Mus musculus: one gene and its partner. The protein of the gene in region 2 interacts with the protein of the main gene of each other region in a pairwise test. Links are inferred from orthologs where the notes say so. Each region holds a gene or a part of one and is shown on either strand. Other genes may lie near its edges.

The links.
Region 1: the proteins of Dlc1 (region 2) and Rasa1 interact in binary tests that used the Homo sapiens proteins (3 or more experiments, as listed by UniProt). The link is inferred for Mus musculus from reciprocal best matches to the Homo sapiens genes DLC1 and RASA1.

Annotation. Positions count from the first base shown.
Region 1 is NC_000079.6:85,215,139-85,221,175, forward strand, and holds part of Rasa1 (ras GTPase-activating protein 1), read right to left. Parts: intron 4,357-6,037; coding exon 4,268-4,356; intron 3,122-4,267; coding exon 3,044-3,121; intron 1,874-3,043; coding exon 1,739-1,873; intron 1,050-1,738; coding exon 966-1,049; 3' UTR 1-965. UniProt on the Homo sapiens protein: Inhibitory regulator of the Ras-cyclic AMP pathway. Stimulates the GTPase of normal but not oncogenic Ras p21; this stimulation may be further increased in the presence of NCK1.
Region 2 is NC_000074.6:36,576,779-36,582,815, forward strand, and holds part of Dlc1 (rho GTPase-activating protein 7), read right to left. Parts: coding exon 5,923-6,037; intron 2,929-5,922; coding exon 2,769-2,928; intron 2,645-2,768; coding exon 2,446-2,644; intron 471-2,445; coding exon 257-470; intron 1-256. UniProt on the Homo sapiens protein: Functions as a GTPase-activating protein for the small GTPases RHOA, RHOB, RHOC and CDC42, terminating their downstream signaling.

The DNA.
Region 1 (6,037 bases), on a different chromosome or scaffold from region 2:
CAAGAGCAAATGAACTATACAAACTAAATATCCAGCAGGTAAAACAAGTACAAATTAAAAGATGTGTAAGTTGTTAAGTGGCTGATTAGGTTATCTGCATAATCAAAGATAACAAAAACCATCTTAGAAGTGACAAAAGTATTCTAGCACTTCGTTTAAACATAAAAGACATCAGCAATCTATAAAATGGTCAAATGGGTAACATGCAATAATTGGTACAATGACCAATAATATTTATTGAATTTAAACTATTTACTGTTGTAAACATTTTAACAAAAGCATGAGATCTAAATACAGTCTTTGACAATTCCAACAAAATAAGTGGTATGTTTAAAAAATAAAGCTGATGAGCAATAGATTCATCGATTTTATATATTGTCTTTCAACAGTTCCAGAAAGAATAGCACAGTATTTTTAAAAAGTATACAGCAAGATTGTTCCTATTATAATGTCAAACTCTGGAAACTGTAAATACAAAGAAAGTCAGTGAACAGTCAAATGGTCATGTTCATAAAGAAGAAATTACAGTAATAACTGTCTGCGATCCAGTTAAATTCTGTTGTCTATAGAATGCGTTTCCTTGTCAGTTGATTTCATAGTTCCTTTTCCAAGAGACAGCAAAACTTTGGCAATTGGATATACTGAAAATATATTTTCAAAGTTCAAGACACAGTCAGTCATAGCATTTTTGTTGTTGTTAAGGGTACACCAAGGCTCAGAGTTTGGTAGAGATTCCATGTGGAAAAAGTGCGCAATATTCTGCACAGATAGCTTACAAAGGTGCTGGCAGTTGCTCTTCAGCAGAATCTTGGGTTTTTGCTTGCATAGCTCACACATCACTGGAATGTGGGAAAGTGTGCTATTTTTTTTCTTTCTCTATTTTTTTCTTTTTGGCAAGAGCAAAGGAGACATGATGGTGTGAATTACCACGGTGGGCATACTGAATCCACGCAGAACACAGGCTGCTACCTGATGTCATTGGTTTTTGTATACTGGTTTTGTTTTTGTTGAAGCAGTTCTGTTATCGCCAGAAGCTTTTTCAGTACGTGCTAGACACAGGAGAAATAGTGAGGAAAAAAATCACTAAGCAAATAAAGAGCTTAAAATTTCAATTATAGGATTTATTACTTTTGATAAAAACTATATCAAAGGACTGAGATTCTACTCAAGACATAAACTGAGTATTTTTAGTTGTAACCAAAATATAGAAGGTCTTACTACACTAAATTTTGTCATTATTAAATCTTGAAAAATCTAAGTTAAACAATAGCAATATTTTCCAATTGTACTCTTAACTAGTTAGGACTGCTTGGATTCTAGCCTCGCAGGCTAATTAATCAGACTTAGGATGGTCTATCTTGATTTATCCTTTCCTATGTGATACCCTTTTCTCTCCATTTAACTACCTTAGCTTAAGAGAGACTATCTCCAGTAACTTATCACTAAATCAATTAAAGTATCTTTACAGTTCTACTGGACAGCAAAAGCTTAATGTGGACTGATTTTTAAGGTATGAGTTATGTACCATACCAACTTGAATCACTATAATAATGTATCCTCTGTAGTTATTTTTCACATTTCTTATATAGTTCTCCTGTGCTTCACAAGTAGTTTTGCTCACACACTTGGTATGAGAGTAACTGAAAGAGTACCATGCCTTCTTACTACTGACAGTAACTCACTTGCCATTTTTACATGTACCATTTATAAAGCAGGAACATTGCCATGTAAAACCTACCTGCTGTACACCACGCTCATTGCTGAGTGTTCTCAGTTCATCTGAATGAGCTACACAAATCTCATGCAATGCTGCTAAGTCACGAGACAGGTCAGTTCTAGAATGCTCTGTAGTGTCCGGAAGTTCAGGTACATTCTTTAAGGGAATCATAAAACTGCGTTTAGAAATAAAAACCCTTGTAGTCTCTTCTAAAGTTATCCTAACTAGGTATAAAACATTAATTTGTACAAAAATTTTTATTCAAGTAATTCTGCTGAACATGGGTTATAGGACATCTATTTACAAAGAAGCCAGGTTCTTCAACTTTCATAGAATGACAGTGTGAATCTTTTTTAAATTTAGAGCATATGCAAAATAAATGATACCATTACAACTTAAAACTCCTAGACTGAATACTACTACAGTACTCTTATCTAAATTAACCAACATCTAAAGAACTAAATTATGAAAGTATAATAAAAATTCATTGTTTGCAATTTCTATAGACTGTGCTCAAGATAATTCTAAAATATGGGATTATTGGACATTAACATGTTTAACCTTCATGAAGTAACTTAGCCATCATAATAAATGTATAATACCGTATTATTGCATTAAATGCCAATAATTAGAAGTACTCCTAATAGAATCTTTGCAGAAGCTCACATAAATGTTTCTTATAAATATAGAACTTATGTTGTCGGTCTTCCTTCTAACCCCATTTGTTTGCCAAAAAGGGCTTTTGACATTTGTTTTAAAATGAATCACTGAGTCGAAATACACTACTACAACTGAATCGCCTATACTTTTGATGACAAACTTGGCTAAACTCACACATGCGTGCTAATTTCACCTTGGTCTCCGTGTATACATACCACATTATGAATATATTTACTTAAAAATTCATTCAGTGTTAGAAATGTATATGGGGTAGAAAATTTAACTTTATTATTTAGGGTCTCAGAAATTATGAATATGTTCAATTTTGTATCAGTTTAATTTATAAAAGCTCAAGTGAGGTATAATAATTATATTATTTCATTTAGTTCTAACTTTAGTTCCAATATAAATGGCTTCAAATCTTGTTTCAGCTACAACTTAAAAGGTTACTAAATCCAACAATAGCTAAAGGGTATGAATGAAAAGACAGCCTGAAAGATGACTGGTTGAAAGCCACAATTGTGTATGCTTGATATAAACAAGAATAAGTGAAAAAGACATTTTGGATAGAAAAGATTTTATTTTGAAGTCCTGGTTTTAAAATTTAAAGGTTATTACTCATATGGCTAAGCTCATTCTCAAAGAACTTGAAAATTATATACATACCCCAAGTTCATCTAAAAACATGATCATGCGATGTTTATTACTTTTTATAAATGGATTGACACCTTCCATATAAGGCTCCTAAAAAAATTAAAAACTTCCATAAGGCTCCTAAAAAATTTAAAACTTCCATCTCATATACCTTAAAAGAACTGTTTTACAACAAAAACTATACATGTTGCAAGAATTAGTATTTATTCATGCAAAATTTCTCTTTAATATAAACAGTTTCGTGGGAGGAATGGAGGTATTTAATGAAGATTCAAAATTAAATTACAAATTAAAAATCATTAAACATATAGCTTGGCAGACCCAAATTGTTTATATATAGATTTAGAATTAATTACTGATAAATTATGAAGAATCCAACACATTATAAGGAATTAAATAAAATACAGTGAAACCAAAAACTCCCTATGACTGCAAAATACGCTTTGGGTTTCAGGAAATTTCAAACAATAACCCATAAATGTAAACTACTTAAACTAAAATCCTAACCCACTATAATTTATAATTTCTAGTTAGTAAAGTATCAACAACAGGCTTCAAATGGGATAACATTCAATTGGAAATCCCAAAGATGTAGACATGAAATTGGAAGAACAACAATGAAACACACGAACACCCCCAGCAGATGAACAGAGATAAGGATCTGTGGGCTGCTGAGACGCCTCTGCATTAAGAGCGCCTGCTACACTTGCAGAGCAGGACCAGGGCTCACTTGCCAGCACTCAGATGGTGACTTACAACTGTTATGTTCCTGAGAATATAATATAATATACTCTGTCCTCTTCTGGCCCATGTAGGCACAAGGTACATACCAGTGCACTTAACGCACATACAGGCAAAACACTCATACACATAAAAGTGAATAAATCTTTTTAGAAAAAAATGAATCTGGCAAGAAATAATAATAACCAAAAATGGAAAATGGAATATATGACAAAAGCCTGAAATGTATATTTAATTATTAACCATACCCCAAAGTTTAGGACAAGTCTGAATGGAAGTGTAAAGAATACTTGTTACATTTGAACATCAGTTAAAGGACTGCATACTGACTAGTGGTATGTACATGTGAATTTATGAACAAATATGTCATATACTAAGTCACAAAAGCAGATAACTATATCATTCCAATCATGTTTTGAAGATCTGGTATATATTCATTGTGAATTTAAATTTCCATTTAAAATGTTATTAATTTAATTATCAAAATATGTTTACCTTAGCTCCAAATTCCACAAGATTTGCTAAATTCTGCACAGATTTAGCCACTAATGTCAGTGTTCTTGCAGCAATAGGAGATGGGGAATCTAGAAGAAAATTGGGTATAGCCAATGACACCGACTCCAGAGGTTACTTTCAGATAAATGGTCAAACACTTAGTATTAACACTAAAGAAATATTAAAAGTGCCAACAATCCTTTATTCAGAATATATTCACAATAGTCCTTGAAAATATATCACTTAATTCAAAAGAACTTGAATTAAAAGGGAAAATTGAACATACTTATCAGTGCTTGTTTTGTGAAAAGGAAACTAAAGGAGTAATTTCCAACTGGCTGATATTTCAGAATACTTCAAAAAGCTGCTTTATTGCTAAGAAGACTCTCACTCTAAAAACTTTCAGACCATGCCCAAAGCTAATTCAACCCACATAGGGGAGCATTTTGCAATCTTAGCAATTCCCTGTTCCCAACATTATTTGCAGGCAACTAGCTCAATTTATACATCAGTTTTTGAGTTCATGAAACAGTTCCCTGTAGAACAGAGAAAATGGAATGTAAATGAAAAGTATTTGTAGCTACCAAACAGAAACTGACAATTAAGGCCCCACCCATGTCCATGGACAACCTTGAGTTTCTGATCTCTTATCAGGTACAAGGGGTTGAACCCAGGGCCTCATGTATACTCTGCCAGTGTTCCACCAGCTTAGTTACATTCTCAGCCAGCAACTATTAACATTTTGACTCACTGTTTTGTATTAAAGTGGCAGTTTAAGGCCAATGTTTAGATAGAGCGCTCAAAAATTCTAAGCCTTTTAATTTTAAAAAAGTTATGTATACTTTGGTGTGGGTATGTACAAATGAGTGCAGCTACCCACAGAACCAAGACCAGTGTCTGATCCCTTGGAGATGGAGTCATAAGTGGTTGTGAGCCACCTGCCATGGGTGTTTGGAAGTGAATTCAGGTTCTCTGTAAGAGCAGTGTATGTTCTTAAACACTGAACCATTACACCCAGTCTTTTATTCTTAATATGCATCATTTCAATCACCTTAGTATTAATAAAAATTGCAGGAATGTGAGGAGTATAAACATAATAATAGTGAAAAAAACTATGGTCTTCCCTTTGATTTTAAGATCAGGGGGACTCTTAGACTCACCATTCATGCATATGGGCATTGTAGATACATACCACTGTGTTTAGTGACATAGTCTGGCTACAAAGCCCAGGTTTGTCTTGGGCTTTTTTGTACCTTAGCCTCCTAAGTTCTGGGATTACAGAATTCCAGAATGAAGTCCCACCTCAAATAAATTTTAATACAGATTTGAGGTTCAAAGTATAGCATGCAAATGACTGTTTCCTTCTATTAATGTTAATGGACTCATTACAACATTAGAGTAAGAAACATCAATACTTTTTCTTAAGCTTACAAATCTTAAAATTTTGTCCTGTGGACAGTGAGTGAAAAGCAAAATGGGGTCAAGCTTATTAAAAAGAATCTTGGGCTATCTTTGTAAGTGTTCACAGATTGCTAATGTGGCTGCACATAGGTCTTTAACCTGATCTTAGCAGAAAGTTTACCTTACAGTAACCTGATGTAGGCAAAGGACACAAGAACAAGAGCCCTTCCTAATCTCCTACAAACACTTGTCAGAGCCAGCAGGCCAGCAAGAGTGGTAAACGTGCTTGCCACCAAGTTTGATGTCCTGATTTCAATCCTAGGCACTCAGATGGTGAAGAGAGACAGTCATCTCCCAAGAGCTGACCTC
Region 2 (6,037 bases):
CCTTCTGATGATGTAGACTGCACCATGCCTTGGTCATGGTGTCTGTTCACAGTAGTAAACCTTGACTAATACAATCCCTTAAGTTGTTTGTGTCAAGTCATCTTTTACAGTGACATACGAGGACTTAATTCCAGGACTAACCCCCTTTGCTAGGTCCAGATAAGAATCCAATAAGGACACAAGGACAAGGCTCTAGAAGGTGAGTGATACCTCATGGGAACAGAGCCCAGGCATGCCCCTTGCATCTGATCTGTACCTTGGAGAAGAATTCTCTCGCTTCAGGGTGTTGAGGTGGAAGAGGGACGGAGCTAGGCACACAGCCAGGTTGGTGGGAGTCATCTGGTTTTCTTTCACAGCCGCTGTGACATCGCTCAGGAAATAGAGAAGTGTCTGCAGAACCTCCCGGTTCTCGTCGGGCAGGAGCATAATGGCCGCCTTGATGGCTTGGAGGCGCTGGTCCTTGGGAACATCTGCAGGACACAAGCATTGCCACCACCAACTCAGTAATTTTCCACGCACGTGGGCAAGTCCACATCCCAAAGCAAACATGGGCATCAAATACTGAACGGGCAGTTGTAGAAAGCATACTAAAGATTAATAAGGGAGAAATTATGGGCTGCCACCGGCGTCACTACCCTCAAGTATTTCCTGCCTTGTGGGGGAGTTAAAACATTTGAAACACCCACAATACTAACATGCTTTTAAATCGACCTCAGACTTCGGCTCCAGATGACACGCGCCTTAAGCGTACAGAACTGTTACTTCTAAGCACTTAAAAAAAAATCTCTAATTTGCCATCTTAATTATCAAAATCATTCCACCTTAAAGACTTTGTGTAGTTTCAATAAAATGTTTTATGTGAGACACGTGCAAGACATTAAAAAACAGGGGCTGCTCAGCTGAGCAGAAAGGGCTCAGTATCTCTGGAGACCGATTTTGACCCATTTGCCCATTCTTTAAATGGGGAAAGGTTGTGGAAAAACATGAAGCCAATTTCAATAGACAGAGCTTAAATAATGACGTTTAAAGTTTTTAGAAGGTACACCAAGAAGCAAACGTATCAAAGTGCACATCACCCTGTAGAATAACTTATACTGGAATAAGTTTGTGCCTGGCATTCCGGTCTCATTCACCAGGCAAATTTTCTTTAAAGCAAGTGGTGGAAAAAGCAAGTCACTTAAATGCAAGGTCCTAAGACAAACTGATTAAAGGGCTCCATGGTTACGACGCATAACAAATACCTCAGCAGGGGCGGGTGTGTGTGTGTGTGTGGGGGGAAGTGACCTGTGTTTTCCTAAAATATGAAAGGTTGAGAGAGAGCCTGAAGCAGTCCAGACCAGCTCCGTTTCTCATAAAATGAAGTCCAGCACGTCACTTCTAAAGCTTATTTCAGCACTAAGACGGGGCTGCTTTTAAATCATGCTGCTCTGACGTCACGAGCCCAGAGAAAGAGGAGGAGGCTGTGAAAGCCACGGTCCTCTTCTTCATCATTCACTTCCTCAATGGTTTGCCCTAAGCCGAGCCTAAAAGTGAGGAGGGCACGCGTATTGTCTCCTTAGGTGTTTATGGGAGGAACGGTGATGATTAACCGGAAAAGGGGAAAGAGGATTATTTTATTCATTTCCCAGGGAGATAAAATACACATGAGAAAAATTTGAATTCCACAGCCCTGTTAGAGAAGTATAAAGTAAATGAGAAGTCTATATAGATGGGGAGCAGGGAAGGAAATGAGAGGTGGGGGAAGGGAAGGGAGAGGGGTCGAGGTAGAGAAAGTGGAGGAGAGGAAGAGGAAGAGGAAGAGGAGGGAGGCAGAGAGGGAAAAGGGAGAGGGAGAAGGCCAGCATACCATTTTGGTACCCTATTTTTGAACACCTACTGCTCTAGATAAACGAAAGATGACAGTGGACTTGATGGTAAAAATGTACAACTGACTTCTGTACTTCCTGACTCAATAGCAACACTGATTTTCTCTTTCTTTTGAAGACAATGTCTCATGAGACCCAGGTAGCCCTCAAATTCAGTATGCAGCCAAGGGTGACCTTGAACTGATCCTCCCACCTCCATTTCCAAAGTGCTAAGGTTGCAGGTCTGCACCGTGACACCTGGTTTATGTGATGCTGGAGAGAAAACTCAGTACTTTATGTGTGCTACACACAATCCCTCTGCCAACAACATACAGTGGGTCATAAAAGTACTTCTCAAGCTATTTAGTAAGGATACAGTAAACCTATTACACACACACACACACACACACACAGACACACACACAGACACACACACACACACACACACACACACACACACACACACACACACTGTAACTTTCGAGAAGATCAGCATGCAGGTTTTTCTCTACAAAAGGATGGCATACAAAGAGGCTGTGTGCTTCAGTTGGTCCCATGGAACCCGACATCAGTTGCCTTAAGAAGAACCAAGAACGCTTACACTGGTAGATCTGCAGGAAGGTTTCGGAGAGTTTGTTCGTCATGAGGGGCTCAGGAAGATCTCGAAAATATTGCTTTAACATGTCTGCCACATCATAAGCAGACTGGCCTTCATAGTTGACATTATCTTCAGCGCTTTCATTCATCTGGCGTAGAGCCTGGATCCGGGATTTGACACCTGACTTCCTGAAGAGCCCGACCTTTTGGAAGGAGAACAGCAGGGATGGGTGTGGAAGCAGGACCCTTCCCCACGAAACTAGAAAAAAAACCATGCAGCCCAAAGCTCCGCTCCCACGAGTGGGATCCACAGGCAGCTGTACTCACCTGGTCCAGACAGTGGTTACGGAGGTAGCGCATGGCCTGCTGGATGCTCTGGGGCAGGGGCTGTCCTGAGCGCTGCACGTTCACAGTCAGTGGGACCCCAAACACACTCCGGTCCTTGTAGTCTGGAACCTTGATCCTTTTCATGAACTTGGGCACAGCCCTGTTTAAGGAAGATGGGGTGGAGGGGATAAAGCATTCACTTGTCTGAATTTGCTTACCCCCCCTTCTTTTCAACCCCTCCCCCCACCACGAATTTGATCCCTGTCAATACAGGGACTATTTAAATGAAAATAAAGTGACCTCTTCCGTTCTGTAGCTGTAGTAGCCACATTAAAGACCTTTTACTGGGTCAGTAGCTGCCACAATACATTATATGAGTGTAAAACGCCCTGCTCCAAATTACTGGACAATGTCATAGGAATGTGTGTGGTTTTTTTTTTTTTTTTTTTTTTTTTTGGTGGCGGGTGGGCAAAGTGCTTTTGGTTATCAAACTTGGAGACTCTGGAATCTATCTGGGCAAGTGCTCTGTTACTGAGCTACAGCCCTAATGTCTCCCCGATTCCTTTGTTTTTGTAAGACTTTTTATTATTATTATTATTATTATTATTATTATTATTATTATTATTATGTAGCCCACTCTGGTCGGTCTAGATATCTGAAGAGCTGGAACTAAAAGACCTGGACAAATACCCTCATCTGGGGAATCTGTTAGCTCCTGTTAATCTTGAGAAGGGTTGTCTGTGGTCCTCAGGGAGGCTAATGGACTTCCTTACACGAGAACAGTACAGGAAGGAAGAGGCAAAAAATATGTAACACCCTATTTAGGTACTTCTGATATGAGCTTGAGAAACAACTTCCCACTTTTCCTAAAAGGGTATGAATCCCTTCTGGGTTCTTGGAAGAGACCTGAGTTGATTCATTTATAAGGAGATCCGGGTAACATTGTGTAAAAACCAGCCAAAGGCTAACTGTCTTGTCATACTGGGAACCTAGGCCAGAGATCAAATAGGGCTGGATCTGGAGTCAAAATAAATTCCCCTGCCGATGACTCCAAAGAATACAGCATCTCCAGGCTTCTATGGGAAAGGGGAAAGGCACAATGGGGGTTTTGTGAAGCTCCCAAAGGCGGCCAGGCATCCTGAAAGCAGGGCTGTGCCCAGCCATATATGCGACAGCAGGAAACCCAAATCAGGCATTTAAGGATGTCAGGCAGGTACAAGTGACCCCTTGAGGGAGACCAGAAAGGGCAGAGCCGAACAGGAAAGGGACTTTGGGCAGAAGTGCTCCTTGCTGTCCGAGTTCTACAATGCCAGGCATTTACATTTTGGTTTTTACACACTGGAAAACCTGACCAGAAGTGAAGTAAGTGGGAGGGTGGACTTGTAGATTTTTTTTTTTTTTGAGGGTTTGGTGAGAAAGGGGGTAGACAACCCTGAAAGGAGAATGTAAAATATGCAGTTTTAAATAGCAGTGAGGAAAATATTACTCTAAGCACAGAGGGAGACCACAGAAAGCCAACTGCCTTGCCTTCTGGGTGCTTGCCCGCGGCCATGGTGTGCCACTCTTGATGGCTCTAGAAAAGGAAAAGGCAGAGAGTAAAGCCAGATTTGCATTTCCATACAGTTAGGAGCAGGGCACAGAGGCAGAAGTGTGCATAAAGCTCGCTTTGTTGTGCGTGAAGGGCCCAGGCTGTGGAATGTGGAAAGAACACATTACACTCCCCGCTGAGAATCTGAAGCATTCTGGGATAAACTGGTCAATACGTATTTCTGTCATTCAGAACAAACAACTTCTGTATTTAGCGAGGCTCATGTAACTGCCTTGGTTAGGGAGGTGCTTTGATGGCACAACTACAACCCCTGGACATTCCTAGGAGGGAGGAGTCAGAGAATTGAGGAACAGTGGACCCTGCCTCAGACCATCTCTACCATTTTGGCTGGTTACTGATATGGGCTGCATCTGTTTTCATAACAATTGGACTACAAGCACCCTGATGTGAAAAGATTCAGGGACACCTGTGACACTTGGAAACAGAGACCTGGATCCAGATACAGTTCTTGTCTTTAAACTCTGACTATGGACAGGAATTATATCCTGCCCACGACCCATCCAGCCTGACTGTCCACATTTTACACTCAAGGCTGAGGATTCTAGATTATGAAGAGTTAGACATCTAATACATTTCAATTTTAAAAATATAGTTGCTCTGTGGTGGGGCATGGTGGCACATGGCTTTAATCCTAGCACTCAGAGGAGGTAGAGGCAGGTGAATCTCTGAGTTCAAGGCCAGCCTGGTATATATAGTTATGAGTTCTGGGACTAACAGAGCTATAAAACAGATAGACCCTGTCTTAAAACACCAAAACAAACAAACAAACTAAAGCAAAAAAAAAAAAAACAAAAAACAAAAAACAAAAAACAAAAAAACCCCCCAAAACCCAAAGGGCTGGAGAGATAGATAGCTCAGTGGGTAAGAGCACTGACTGCTCTCCCAGAGGTCCTGAGTTCAATTCCCAGCAACCATATGGTGGCTCACAACCATCTGGAACGGAATCCGATGCCCTCTTCTGGTGTGTCTGAAGACAGCTACAGTATACTCATACATAAAATAAATAATTCTTAAAAAAAAAAAAAAAAAAACCAAAAACTCAAACACAAAGAAACAGTATATATGTAAGATATTATAGCTAACTACTTAAGTTTATTATTCTCTGAGCATTTTTGCCAGAAAGGTCCGCTTCTAAATAAACAACAAAGCAAAAAAACCCCAAAGTCAAAACAAAAACCCCAAACTTGTTAGCACAGGTAGATTTCTCAGGTCATGCTCAAAACCTTCAATCAAAACTGACCAACAGCGTGATGGAGTGTGGGCTCAGCATGAACAAGGGCCTGAACGCATCTCAGGCAACCACATGATGGCTGAAAACCCAACCAACCAGTCCTGCAGTTAACTCCCTGAGGCTCCAGGAGTTTGAGCAGCATGGAGAACATAGCCTGGAGGATGTGGAGACCACCTGCTTAAAGGTTGATGGACTGGTGACATTGACAGAGGACAGAACGGTCCTATGCTGAGTGCTGGGGACAACCTCAGGGAGCGTGATGGCATCCCCCCAGGGCCATTGCTCACTGCTCACTGCGCGCTGCGCTCTCTTACCAGCTGAAGCCGTGCTTGTTGGAAGGCGTGTACTTTTCCAGCAGGGCCGTCAATTTCAGGAGCGAGTATTTCTGCAGCAGGTTCATCTGGGCCACAGACTGGCAGTTAATCTGCA